2 linked regions of the Sus scrofa genome follow. The protein of the gene in region 2 interacts with the protein of the main gene of each other region in a pairwise test. Links are inferred from orthologs where the notes say so. Each region holds a gene or a part of one and is shown on either strand. Other genes may lie near its edges.

Region 1 (6,237 bases), about 28 Mb from region 2:
CAGCATTGCCAGAGGCTGCGGTGTAGGTCGCAGATGCAGCTCTGAAGACATTGCTGCAGCTCTGATTCAACCCCTAGCCTGGGAACTTCCATATGCTGCAGGTGTGGCCCTAAAAAAAAAAAAGACAAAAAATAAAAAATTTTAAAAAACGGTTATTTTAAATTAGTTATGAATCATAAAACAGCACTGAAATTACATTTAACATTTAATTTATTTTGTACTTATATTTGAAGAAGGAGTTTTTGTTGGGAAAGACAGAAATAATAAACCTTCCAAAATCTCAAACTTTCAAAATTCCTCAGTTATCAAAAATAGAGTTATTAAGAGAATTTGGGGGTGGTTTATTTTTGGTCTCTACAATTATTACCACTTAGTAAGTATTAGAGGGAAAAAAAAGCTTTAGTTGCGGGTAACTGATTTTAATTTATTTTCTCCCTAGGATCATATAAGTAATTTATTGTAGGGAATTTCAGATATAGAAAAGCATCAAGAAAAAAGCCAAGCAAAATCTATCCCATCACCCAGAGATAATTATATTTTTGTCGTATATCCTTCTGTTTATTTTCAGAAGTAAACATTTGTAACAAAACGTAAAATAATACTACATTGAAAGTTTCTCCGTGACACAATGGGTTAAGGATCTGGTGTTGCCACAGCAAGGTGTAGGTCACAGATGCGGTACAGCTTCATTCCCTGGCCTGGGAATTTTCATATGCTTTGGATGCAGCCCCCCCCCCCCCAAAAAAATAGTGCATATCCAGATTTCCTGATCATGGTCTAAATTTTAACATTTACTTAATTTGTTAAAAATAAGTATTTCGTATTGCTGTTTTTTCCAGGTTCGTGGACCTTCACGAGCTGATCCTAACCACATAGTAGATGATCTGCTAACACCCTGTTCTCCAGGTGACCCTGGTGCCATTGAAATGACATGGATGGATATCCCTGGGGATAAACTTTTGGAGCCAGTTGTTTGCATGGTTTGTCATTTTGATTTAAGAAAAATTTTAGGAGTTCCCATCGTGGCGCAGTGGTTAACGAATCCGACTAGGAACCATGAGGTTGCGGGTTCGGTCCCTGCCCTTGCTCAGTGGGTTAAGGACCCGGCGTTGCCGTGAGCTGTGGTGTAGGTTGCAGACGCGGCTCGGATCCCGCGTTGCTGTGGCTCTGGCGTAGGCTGGTGGCTACAGCTCCGATTCAACCCCTAGCCTGGGAACCTCCATATGCCGCGGGAGCGGCCCAAGAAATAGCAGAAAGACAAAAAAAAAAAAAAAAAAAAAAAAAAAAAGAAAAATTTTAAAACGTATTTTATAATTTGTCAGACAGATAAAATTTTCTGTTATGTAAAATCAGCTAGAAGATGTTAATATGATCAGGCATGGAGTTCCCGTCGTGGCAGAGTGGAAACGAACCCGACTAGGAACCATGAGATTGCGGATTCAATCCCTGGCCTTGTTCAGTGGGTTAAGGATCCGGCATTGCCATGAGCTGTGGTGTAGGTCACAGATACGGCGCGGATCCTGAGTTGCTCTTGCTGTGGTGTAGGCCAGAGGCTACAGCTCCAATTGGACCCCTAGCCTGGGAACCTCCATGTGTCAAGAGTGCAGCCCTAAAAAGCAAAAAAAAAAAAAGAAAAGAAAAATGATCAGACATGTTTATTTAATACTAACTGCTTAAAAAGTTGTGAAGATTAATGTGAATGTAAATATGAATTTGAGAAATTAAAATATTCATAAAAATTACATTTATATAATTTCTATTGGAGGAATTAAAATAATTCATGAGACTATTATTTTGTAAGGTGTATCAATTTTAAGGAATGTTTATTATGCTTATGTTTTCTTATTGATGAACACTCAGTTTTTAAAATCTTCTGCTTTATAGATTTTCAAATCTGTATATCAAAATTAATAGTAACTTCCAAAGGGGAAGCTTTCACAGGATATGTAGACCATGTAGATCTAAGTATATAGACATGTATGTGTATATGTATGTATATAAGTTTGTGTGTAGTAATATATCCATAAACATAGATATATTTATGTGTTAATTTACCACAATACTTACCTGAAAAATTATCCAGAAATCCTTTTTTGTTTCAGTCCTTGATTTATTGTTTTAAAGTTTTGTTTTGTTTTGTTTTCCATTTGCCATACTATTTTTTTTATAGGAGAAATGGCCTAGAAGTTAATTTTTAAATGAATCCTTGACATTAGTATGTTTTCTTACCATTTTAATTGTAATTTTAATAGTTAACATTTTTGATTAGTTAGTTTTGATTATGGGATTATTTTGTTTCATATACGTATAAGTGAATGACTATATTCCTTCTGAGTTGTACTTGGACAGCTGCCCTCTTGTTTAAGAAAAAACAGATATGGCCAAAAAAGTGATCAGGGACTTACTGTGGAGGCCTTGATCCTCAGGGTAAGAGGACTGTACTTTCTTTAGGGCACTGAGGAGCCTTTGAAGGTTGTGATGAGAGCAAAGGAATAACATAGTTAAAGATGTTCTTTAGGAGAGCAAGAGTTTATCATCAGTAGCTTATGGCACATCACAGATATCCTTAGGTGAAAGTTAGTGATGCAGTGTTTATTTGATAAATCTATTACTAATCTTCCCCACTTCTTTTTCCTGACAGTCGGATATGCTCCGGTCACTATCAAGCACAAAACCCACAGTCAATGAACACGACTTGTTGAAATTAAAGAAGTTTACGGAAGATTTTGGCCAAGAAGGCTAAACCAAAGACCGCAAGGAAGAAATTTACCATGTGTGTTTCTTTCTTTCATGGGTATTTTTGCCCTTCTTGGATGGCGTTCAGATTTTTTCCTGTAAAACTCTTTTACCACAGGGAAATAGAGATCTTACTTCAGAGTTCCTTTAAGGTTTATATATACTTTTGCTCCATTATCAGTTAAATTCTCCTGTTAACAAAAATTATAAAATAACGGGTTATAAGAAAATGAGTAGTAACTAAAAAAAAGAAGAGTGAGTGATACATAAAAAGCAAAAAGAAAAAGAAAAAGAAATTACCCAGTAAAAAGATTTAAAATTGAGATGCAAATATTTTAAATTGTTATGAATAGTGGTCTTTGCAAAGAGCATTCATTTTTTTTAAACTAAAATGAAATGAGGCTTATTTCATATTTTGAAAAAAATCTTAAGCATCCTTCTCATCAATGTAAAATTAACTTTATTAAAAAGTTAAAAATGATTTACTCTCAGGGATGGTCAGTAAAACAGCAAAGAGCACTGTGATTGGGCTCGAAAGATTTTAAATTGCGTTCTTCCCACGGCTTTTATTGATTTTTGATAGATTGGTGTTTTTCTCCATGTAGATTTAAGTTTCTATAAAAGCAGCAGGCTTTTTTATACTTAACTAAATAATACCTTTCACTGTGCAGTCTCAAGAGAAAGACTCTCTAGACATTGTCTTTATCTTGAAGAAGAAAATTGTCTACTTCAGTGTCTTTTTGTAGCAAGAGTGACCAAAACAGGTGGTTAATAAATACGTACTTTTAAAATAACTCTGTCGTGAAATACTGTAATGGGAACCTTTGCTAAAAGGAACAAGCTCCCTTTGGATTATGGGAAGTTACTTGTGTGTGATTGGGGTGGGGGGGCGGGTGTACATATATATATATAATTTTTTTTTAAATATCGAATAGCTAGCATCTTGTCTTTTACCTTTTAAGGTCAGGGAACATCTTGCCCTGGACACACATACATTATCAATGTAATGTTTCATAAAGCTTTAGAAATGAGCTGATGTCTCCTTAAATAATAAACTACAAACATGACATTGTTATTTTAATATCTTCAAGTAAATAATCTGAGGGTGTGTGTTATACACGTTAGCACCAACACTAAGTTGTGCCTTGTACATTTGCATTGGCTGTACATGCAAAGGATTATTAAGTCAACTAGATAAGGTAGATTCCTTAATTTACCATAAAGTTCTGCCTTGTTGATGCTATAGGATAACTTGCATTTTAAAGTATATTTGCACATTTTACATATGATGCTCTATAGTTGCCTTTGGGTTTTCTGTACAGTTGGTGTTTGTTGATATTAAATGGAAATCATAGACCTGAAATACACTGTTCTACGTGAAGTAAATTGATATAACCTACTGTTGGCTATATTCTGTGTATGCTTCTTTATTTTGGGATCTTCTCTGCAGGAGAAAATATTATCTAAACTGATTAGATACAAATAAATCACTAAAAATCAAGAATATATACATGAAAATTCTGATTTTCAGCAACCTTTATGTGAGAATTGGGAATTAACTTGGCAGATCAACACCAAATCCTTTGTGGATGTCTTAAATTTTATATATTTTTATTTTATCAGCCTCAGAATCATGCAGTATTGCTATTAATCCTATCATTAGGAGAATTAACATAATTACATTATAATTATATAGTGGTTGAAATCCAGAATTTTTCAAGAATCCAAAATTTGTTTTGAGGAAGTATTTTACTTAAATTGACCAAATAGTGTGTAAGTGCTGTGCTGATGATAAGTGTATGCTTTATCACACTAAATTCTTACATGTGCTCTGAGAACTATGCCTCAGTGTCCATATCACTTCTAGCCATAGCTTCATTTTCTACATTTCTGGTTTTAAAACTGTTTCTGGTATCTAGTGATTTTAGACTTATTCTAGAATGGTAAAGCATGGGCCATTTCCATGTGCCCTTTCTGGGCAGAGAAATACTCCAAGGAAAATGAACGTTCAGGCTCTGTCTGTCTGGACCCCGACCATTATGATTTGGGGGTAAATGTTTTCTGAGCCAGCAAGTAAACCCTACTTGAACATCTCTATAAGGTATGCCCTGGAAGTTTCAGAAAATTTTTGGTCCTAGTATGAAAACTATAGAGACCTTAATTATAAAGTATTTTAGTAGAAAATTTTGGCTTTGAGTGTACTGTCATCAACATGCAGAAAGATGGAATGAGTGTATTTGATTATGAATATGAAGTGCCATTTAGCCACTTGCACGTGCATAGGTAGGAAGTGGTGAAACACCTCCCTTACGCATTGTCAGGAGCACTGCAGATGGAGTGCCCAGCTTTGTGAGCTCTCACAGGGGCTGTGGGTTTCCTCTCTCCTTTCTTCTTTCCTCTGCTAGTCGAGATCCCATTATTTGCATTAAGACCTAGCTCATGACCCATATAGTCTCTTCCAGGAAGAATTCCTAAACTGTCCCCATCCTGCCTTTGCATTTCTTTAGCACTAAGTTACTATGACTCTCTTAAGATTCTCCAGGTTTCAAGCATGTTCTGTTAATTTTGTTTAGATTGTTTAGATTGTGAGCTCTTCAAACAGTTACATTTCCCTTTGCATTAGCATAGTGCTAGATGCTGTTTATTAGGTACTTAATAAAGACTTGAAAAATTAAGGGAATTATATCCATATTTTATCCACTTCCTAGATTATCTGTAAAACTTTTTATAAAATAGATAATTTGATTTGTTCTGGTTAGTCTAGCAAAGTTGTGGTAAGTTTCAGTCTTGGTTATTGGGAACTAAAATCAGAGGTGTGCCAGAGCTCACTCATACTGGCTCAAAAGAACCAGTATGAGTGAGTTTTACATATTTGTACCCACCTGTTCAGTCACCTCGTTGGCTTGCAATCTGCCATGTTGGGAGAGATTTACGCCACAGAAACTAGCAAGTTTCTATTTAGTTTACATGGTGCAGTGCAAAGCAAGGGCTGTCTGTAGTTTTAAATTGGAAAAGTAATATTATTTACCACATTTACAGAAGTAAAGGAGAAAAGTTATTGCAGAGTCATAAAAAGCATTTAATAAAATCTAGCACCCATTTGTAATTTTCCTTTTTAACTTGACAAACCAGGAATTGAAGGGAGCTTCTTAATTTAATAAAGAGCATTTTCCCAAAAAACTCTAGCAAATATCATACCAATTGTAAATTATTGAAAACCTGACTTCCCAGAGATGAGGAAAAAGACAAAGGTGCCTGCTGTCACCACCCCTTTTCAAGGTTTTGTGAAGGAAATTCTAGCCAGTGTAAGAAAAATAAAAGTTTAGTGGTTAAAAAGGCACAAACAAAATTGTCATTCTCAGGTGACATTTGTGTATGTAGAAAATCCAAATTAATAAACTTAGAATCTGAATTTAACATTACAGGATACTGGTTAATAAATAAAAATAATTGTATTTCTATATTCTAGCAACAATTAGAAATTGAAATTAAAACAATACC
Region 2 (5,100 bases):
CTGTCAAGTTCCTCTGGTAAACTGCAGGCTTTCTCTGCCTCCATTGCGACCAGATAGGATGAATGAATAGCAGGTGGTGAAGTAGATCCGTGTGGCCCTCAGAAACCTGGGTTTTGGAGTCAAAGTGATCAGAATTCAAATTTGAGCTCTGCTGTCATTCATGGGGTGAACTTGCTTTGGACAAGTCATGTAACTTTGCTGATCCCTTCCTATTATCCCAATAGAATAAGAATGGTGATCATCAGGATTAAGTAAGATAGTGTGTGTAAATTGTCAGAATTAAATTATGTGATGAACGTTGAGTACTGAGCTTAGAGCCTGGCACACAATAGGTGCTTAATAATGGAGGCTTTTGTTACCATCCCATCCTAGTCAAGCCGCCCTCCATCTCTGCTAGAGCAGAGAAGGCATGGACTCTGCACTTTATTGCTCCTTTGCTGAAGAGTCAGTGACCTGAAGCATGGTCTTTTGCCTGTTTGTCTTCTGCACCCCAATGTCAGGGAATTAGAGGAGAAAGCATGAGAATTTTGCATGAAGCTTTACCTGATTTGAATGGAAGACTGGAGACTGAGGAATTGCTTTACCCTCCACCCCTGTCTCTCCCCAGGCCTTAGGGGCCCCACTCCTCTCCTCTCAGCAGCTGGTTACAGTTTCAGTGCCTGTTCTGTGTGTGTGTTCAGAGAGTTCCAGGGAGGAGCCTGCAGGGGGGAGTGAGAGGTGGACCCCCTGCTTCATGTTTCTTGTAGTACGGCTGTAAGAACTGTGGCCGGGCGTTCTGTTCCGGCTGCCTTAGCTTCAGTGCAGTGGTGCCCCGGGCTGGAAACACGCAACAGAAAGTCTGCAAGCAGTGCCATGAGGTCCTGACCAGGTGAGAAACCAACACAGGTGAGGGTTCAGCCAAGCATGGAAGCAGGCAGCTGGCAAGGCCTTGCAGCCTCATGCTCCGTGTCTAGAGGTCAGCCCAGGAAGTGTTTGGGGTGGGGGGCACTGATAGGCAGATGGCAGGTGGCTTCTGACACCAGATTTCTTCTCTATAGAGGATCTTCTCCTGCCAATGCCTCCAAGTGGTCACCACCTCAGAACTATAAGAAGTAAGTGCTAAAGGGACAGAGACAAATGGGGGTGGGGAAAGGACAAGGGAGCTCTAGGGTAGGACTCTCTTCTCAGCCTCTAGATCAAATGAGCACAGGGTCAGGAAAATATGTATCTCTCAGGCTCCTGACTGCCCTTTTGGGTGCAGAAAGCAGCTCCTCAGTCCTTTCTCCACAAAACGTTCCTAATAGACCTCGCCTTCTCAGCTAGACCCTCCTGCTCATTGGCTGGGTTAGGGTGCAGGGTGCCATGAGCGAGGGCCACAGAAGAATGTCCACTGAAGGCCTCCTTATCTGCCTAGAAATGATTTGAGTGGGAAGCAGTGAGTGGGTGCCTTCCTGCCTCCCTTCTGCATTCTTCAAGAGGCTCTATCTTGGAGTTCCCATTGTGCCTCAGCAGTAATGAACCCAACCAGTATCCATGAGGACTCGGGTTTGATCCCTGGCCTTGCTCAGTGGGTTAAGGATCCAGCGTTGCCGTGAGCTGTGGTATAGGTCACAGTCATGGCTTGGATCCCGTGTGGCTGTGGCTGTGGCTGTGGTCGGCATCTGTAGCTCTGATTTGACCCCTAGCCTGGGGACTTCCATATGCCAAAGGTGCAGCCCTAAAAAGAAAAAAAGAAAAAAAAAAAAAAGAGCCTTTATCTCATATCCTGCCAGGCGTGTGGCAGCCTTGGAAGCCAAGCAGAAGCCCAGCACTCCCCAGAGCCATGGACTGACCCAGCAAGACCAAGTCATTGCTGAGCGCCTAGCACGGCTCCGCCGGGAGAACAAGCCCAGTGAGTAGGGGACAGACATCATCCGGGGCTCCTGGGACTCGTATTCCTCTGGATCTTACAAGGCTCCCCTATGCTAATTGCAGAGTCAGTGCCCTCTCAGGCAGAGATAGAAGCGAGGCTAGCTGCACTGAGGGATGAACCCCAGGGTTCCATCCCTGCCACCCGGGAGATGGAAGCACGGCTTGCTGCACTGCAGGATAGAGTTCCATCTTCTCAGACCCCTCAGTGGGTGAGTGCTGTGGCTTTGGAGGATAGAGATCCTGCAACAGGACCCAGCAGAAGCCCTGATGCAAGTATATTATATATTTTGCAGGAGTACCTTGTGCTCCTCAGGCCTGCTGCCAGGCCAGGGAACCAGGGATGAGCAGCAGGATTGCACAGAGCACAATCCTGTCTTGCTGGGGACTGCCAGACCTACTTGATTACATGGCCTCTGGATTAGTCCCCTTACCCTGAGCTTTGCGAATTACTCAGCATCCACCCCTGACCCAAACTGCTTTGAACTTTATGGTGTGGCTTTTCCCCTACCCTGCTCCCCACTAAGTCTCCCTCTTCTGAGCAGACACATCAGCCACCAGACACTAGGACCCAGGCCCAGCAGGCACAGGATCTGCTGACACAGTTAGCAGCGGAGGTGGCTATTGATGAGCACCGGGAACGAGGAAGCCCAGGTATTTTCTCCACCCGGCTCCCCCAGGGACCTGCCCCTCACTCTCCTCAGGTTGGGGGAGGCTCTGCTGCCCACCCTCTGGGAGATGAATATAAATCAGAGCATAGGAGATCCTGTTGTGGCTCAGCAGGTTAAGAACCTGACTAGTATCCGTGAGGGTAGCAAAGGTGGGACTTGAACTCAAAGCTGTCTGCTTTCAAACCTCTTGCTCTGAAACTCTGAGCTAAAGGGGACCATGTCAGAACCACACCCACTCATAAAATTCTTACCATCTAGTGACATACAAGGCCTCAGCTTCCTTCATGTCATTTCTGATTCCAACCAGTAAGGGAGAGAGACTGGCTGGACCTTGGCCTCCCCAATCCTGCTCCTTTCAGGCAGTGATTCTCATTACCATGGGGCAACCCACCCTAAGGGCAGGATGTTAAAATATCATGTGGGTGAAAATAGGTGTAATTTTTTTTTACTGTCTAAGATGACTGGTTTTTTACATTTGGGAAAATGGAGGAAATACTCATGTGCAATATAGACCACAGGAGCTACTGCTAAACAAAAAGCTGATGACCTATGGGCTCAGTGGTTTTGATGGGAGATCTTGAAATGTCTGCCCACCTGCTTCACTCTTTCCAGCTGCCTCTACCCAGAATGACCTCAACCAGGGGGGCCCAAGGGCCCAGAGTGCCAGTTCTGAGGGGCAAGCCACCGGGTCCCTGGAGGAGGAGAAGAGCAGGCTTCTGGCTGAGGCAGCAGTCGAACTTCGGGAGGAGAACACAAGGCAGGAGCGGATCTTGGCCCTTGCCAAGCGCCTGGCTGTGCTTCGAGGAGAGGACCCAGATAAAGGTAGAGGCTGGGGAGTGGCTCACTCTTGTCCAGTGGGCAGGCCCTCAACTCCCACCCCCAGGCCAAGCTCTGCCCAGTGGCTGCTGTACTCCCTGCCAGACTGGGTCAGGGGCTGGGGGGCCCTGTGCTCAGGAGTCTGTCGAGCTTTGTCCAGAGCCATGAAGAAGGTGCTGAGGCGATGCAGTGGATGAGGAACAAGTGGCAGCTATCAGGGGGCAGGGGACCCTGGGTCCCTTCAGGTGCAGATCCCCAGCCTGGCAGTGTGGCACAGGGTCTGACCAGAGTGACTGCAGAGGCTACTCAGCTCTGGAACAGATGCCACTGGAAACCAGATTACTGGGGGCAGGAGCACAGCCACTCAGGTGAGCTCTCAGCCTCATTCCTCCTCCCCTGCTCCCGTCTCACCCTCTTCAAGTGACCCTCCAGGACTATCACCTTCCGGACAGTGATGATGAAGAGGATGAGGAGACAGCCATCCAGAGAGTCCTGCGGCAGGTTGGCCCCACCTTATCCCCCTGACCACCCTCGTCCTGTTCCTGCCCCACTGCTCCAGCACCCACCTGGCCCCATTCACCCCGCCTCTTCTCTGGGGTTCAATGGGCAGTCACTCTGCAGTGCCTGTTCTAGCTGGGACTGCTCTGCCCCTCTGACCCAGCCCCGCCCCCCCTAGCCCCTTGAGGTGGAGTGTCAGCAGCCATAGGCAGCAGATGAAGGAAGGTGGGCTGAGAGCTAAGCCACAGAACACAAAAATACTGGGTGTTGGGGGCATGCCTGAGCAGGGAGCTGTACCTCTTCACTCTGTCCACAGCTCACTGAAGAAGCTGCCCTGGATGAGGCAAGTGGCTTTAACATCCCTGCAGAGCCAAATCTCCAACCCCAAGCCCAATCCAGCAGGGTAGAGCCTAAGGTGAGAAAAGCTCCAGACACAAACCCCCCCAGGCCACCATCACAGCTTCCCCTCCCCGGACCCCATCAGGTACCTTACATCCTCCATTCCTCTCTGGTCCCAAAGGCCCAGGCCATGGCCCCCAGGCCTGAGGCTGAGGAAGAGGAGCTCCCCTGGTGCTGTATCTGTAATGAGGATGCCACGCTGCGCTGTGCTGGCTGTGATGGAGACCTCTATTGTGTTCGCTGCTTCCGGTAGGTACAGGTGGAATTCCTGTGGGGCCAGGAATGTTCCAAGGCCTCCTTTGACCCCTGACCTGTATCTCTGCTCCACAGGGAAGGCCACGATGCTTTTGAACTTAAAGAGCACCAGACATCTGCCTACCACCCCTTGCACAAAGGGCGAGAGCACTGAGGGAACCCTGGTCCTCCCGGGAAGGCCATCCTACAGGCAGTCACACAGGCCGGGGCACCCACCAGCGCATCTGATGGGAGAGCACATCAGGCTAGACTGCTTACCGGGAGTTCCCTGGTGGCTCAGCAGGTGAAGGATCCAGTGTTTTCACTGCTGTGGCTTGGGTCACTACTGTGCTGTGGGTTTGATCCCTGGTCCTGGAACTTCCGCATGCCAAGAATGCAGCCAAAAAAAAAAAAAAAAAAAAAAAAAAAAGAGCTAGACTGCTTGTGAATGTGTCCTTTCCTGAGCCTCTGTGTCCCTTGAAAGAGGAAGGACTCTCCATTTAACAGTGACTAGAGAAGCCAGAGGAAAGCAAGAAGTTGGGAGCTTTCCCGCATTGACATCTGGACTGGGAGTGAGAGGCATGCTGGGAGGAGA

The links. The genes of interacting proteins can lie anywhere in the genome.
Region 1: the proteins of ZFYVE19 (region 2) and VPS4B interact in binary tests that used the Homo sapiens proteins (3 or more experiments, as listed by UniProt). The two-hybrid records come from large-scale screens. The link is inferred for Sus scrofa from reciprocal best matches to the Homo sapiens genes ZFYVE19 and VPS4B.

The regions. Positions count from the first base shown.
Region 1 is NC_010443.5:158,266,547-158,272,783, forward strand, and holds part of VPS4B (vacuolar protein sorting-associated protein 4B), read left to right. Parts: intron 1-839; coding exon 840-980; intron 981-2,641; coding exon 2,642-2,743; 3' UTR 2,744-6,237.
Region 2 is NC_010443.5:130,510,816-130,515,915, reverse strand, and holds part of ZFYVE19 (abscission/NoCut checkpoint regulator), read left to right. Parts: intron 1-746; coding exon 747-868; intron 869-1,037; coding exon 1,038-1,091; intron 1,092-1,751; coding exon 1,752-1,870; intron 1,871-1,953; coding exon 1,954-2,099; intron 2,100-2,432; coding exon 2,433-2,541; intron 2,542-3,170; coding exon 3,171-3,380; intron 3,381-3,795; coding exon 3,796-3,875; intron 3,876-4,188; coding exon 4,189-4,287; intron 4,288-4,392; coding exon 4,393-4,520; intron 4,521-4,601; coding exon 4,602-4,680; 3' UTR 4,681-5,100. UniProt on the Homo sapiens protein: Key regulator of abscission step in cytokinesis: part of the cytokinesis checkpoint, a process required to delay abscission to prevent both premature resolution of intercellular chromosome bridges and accumulation of DNA damage.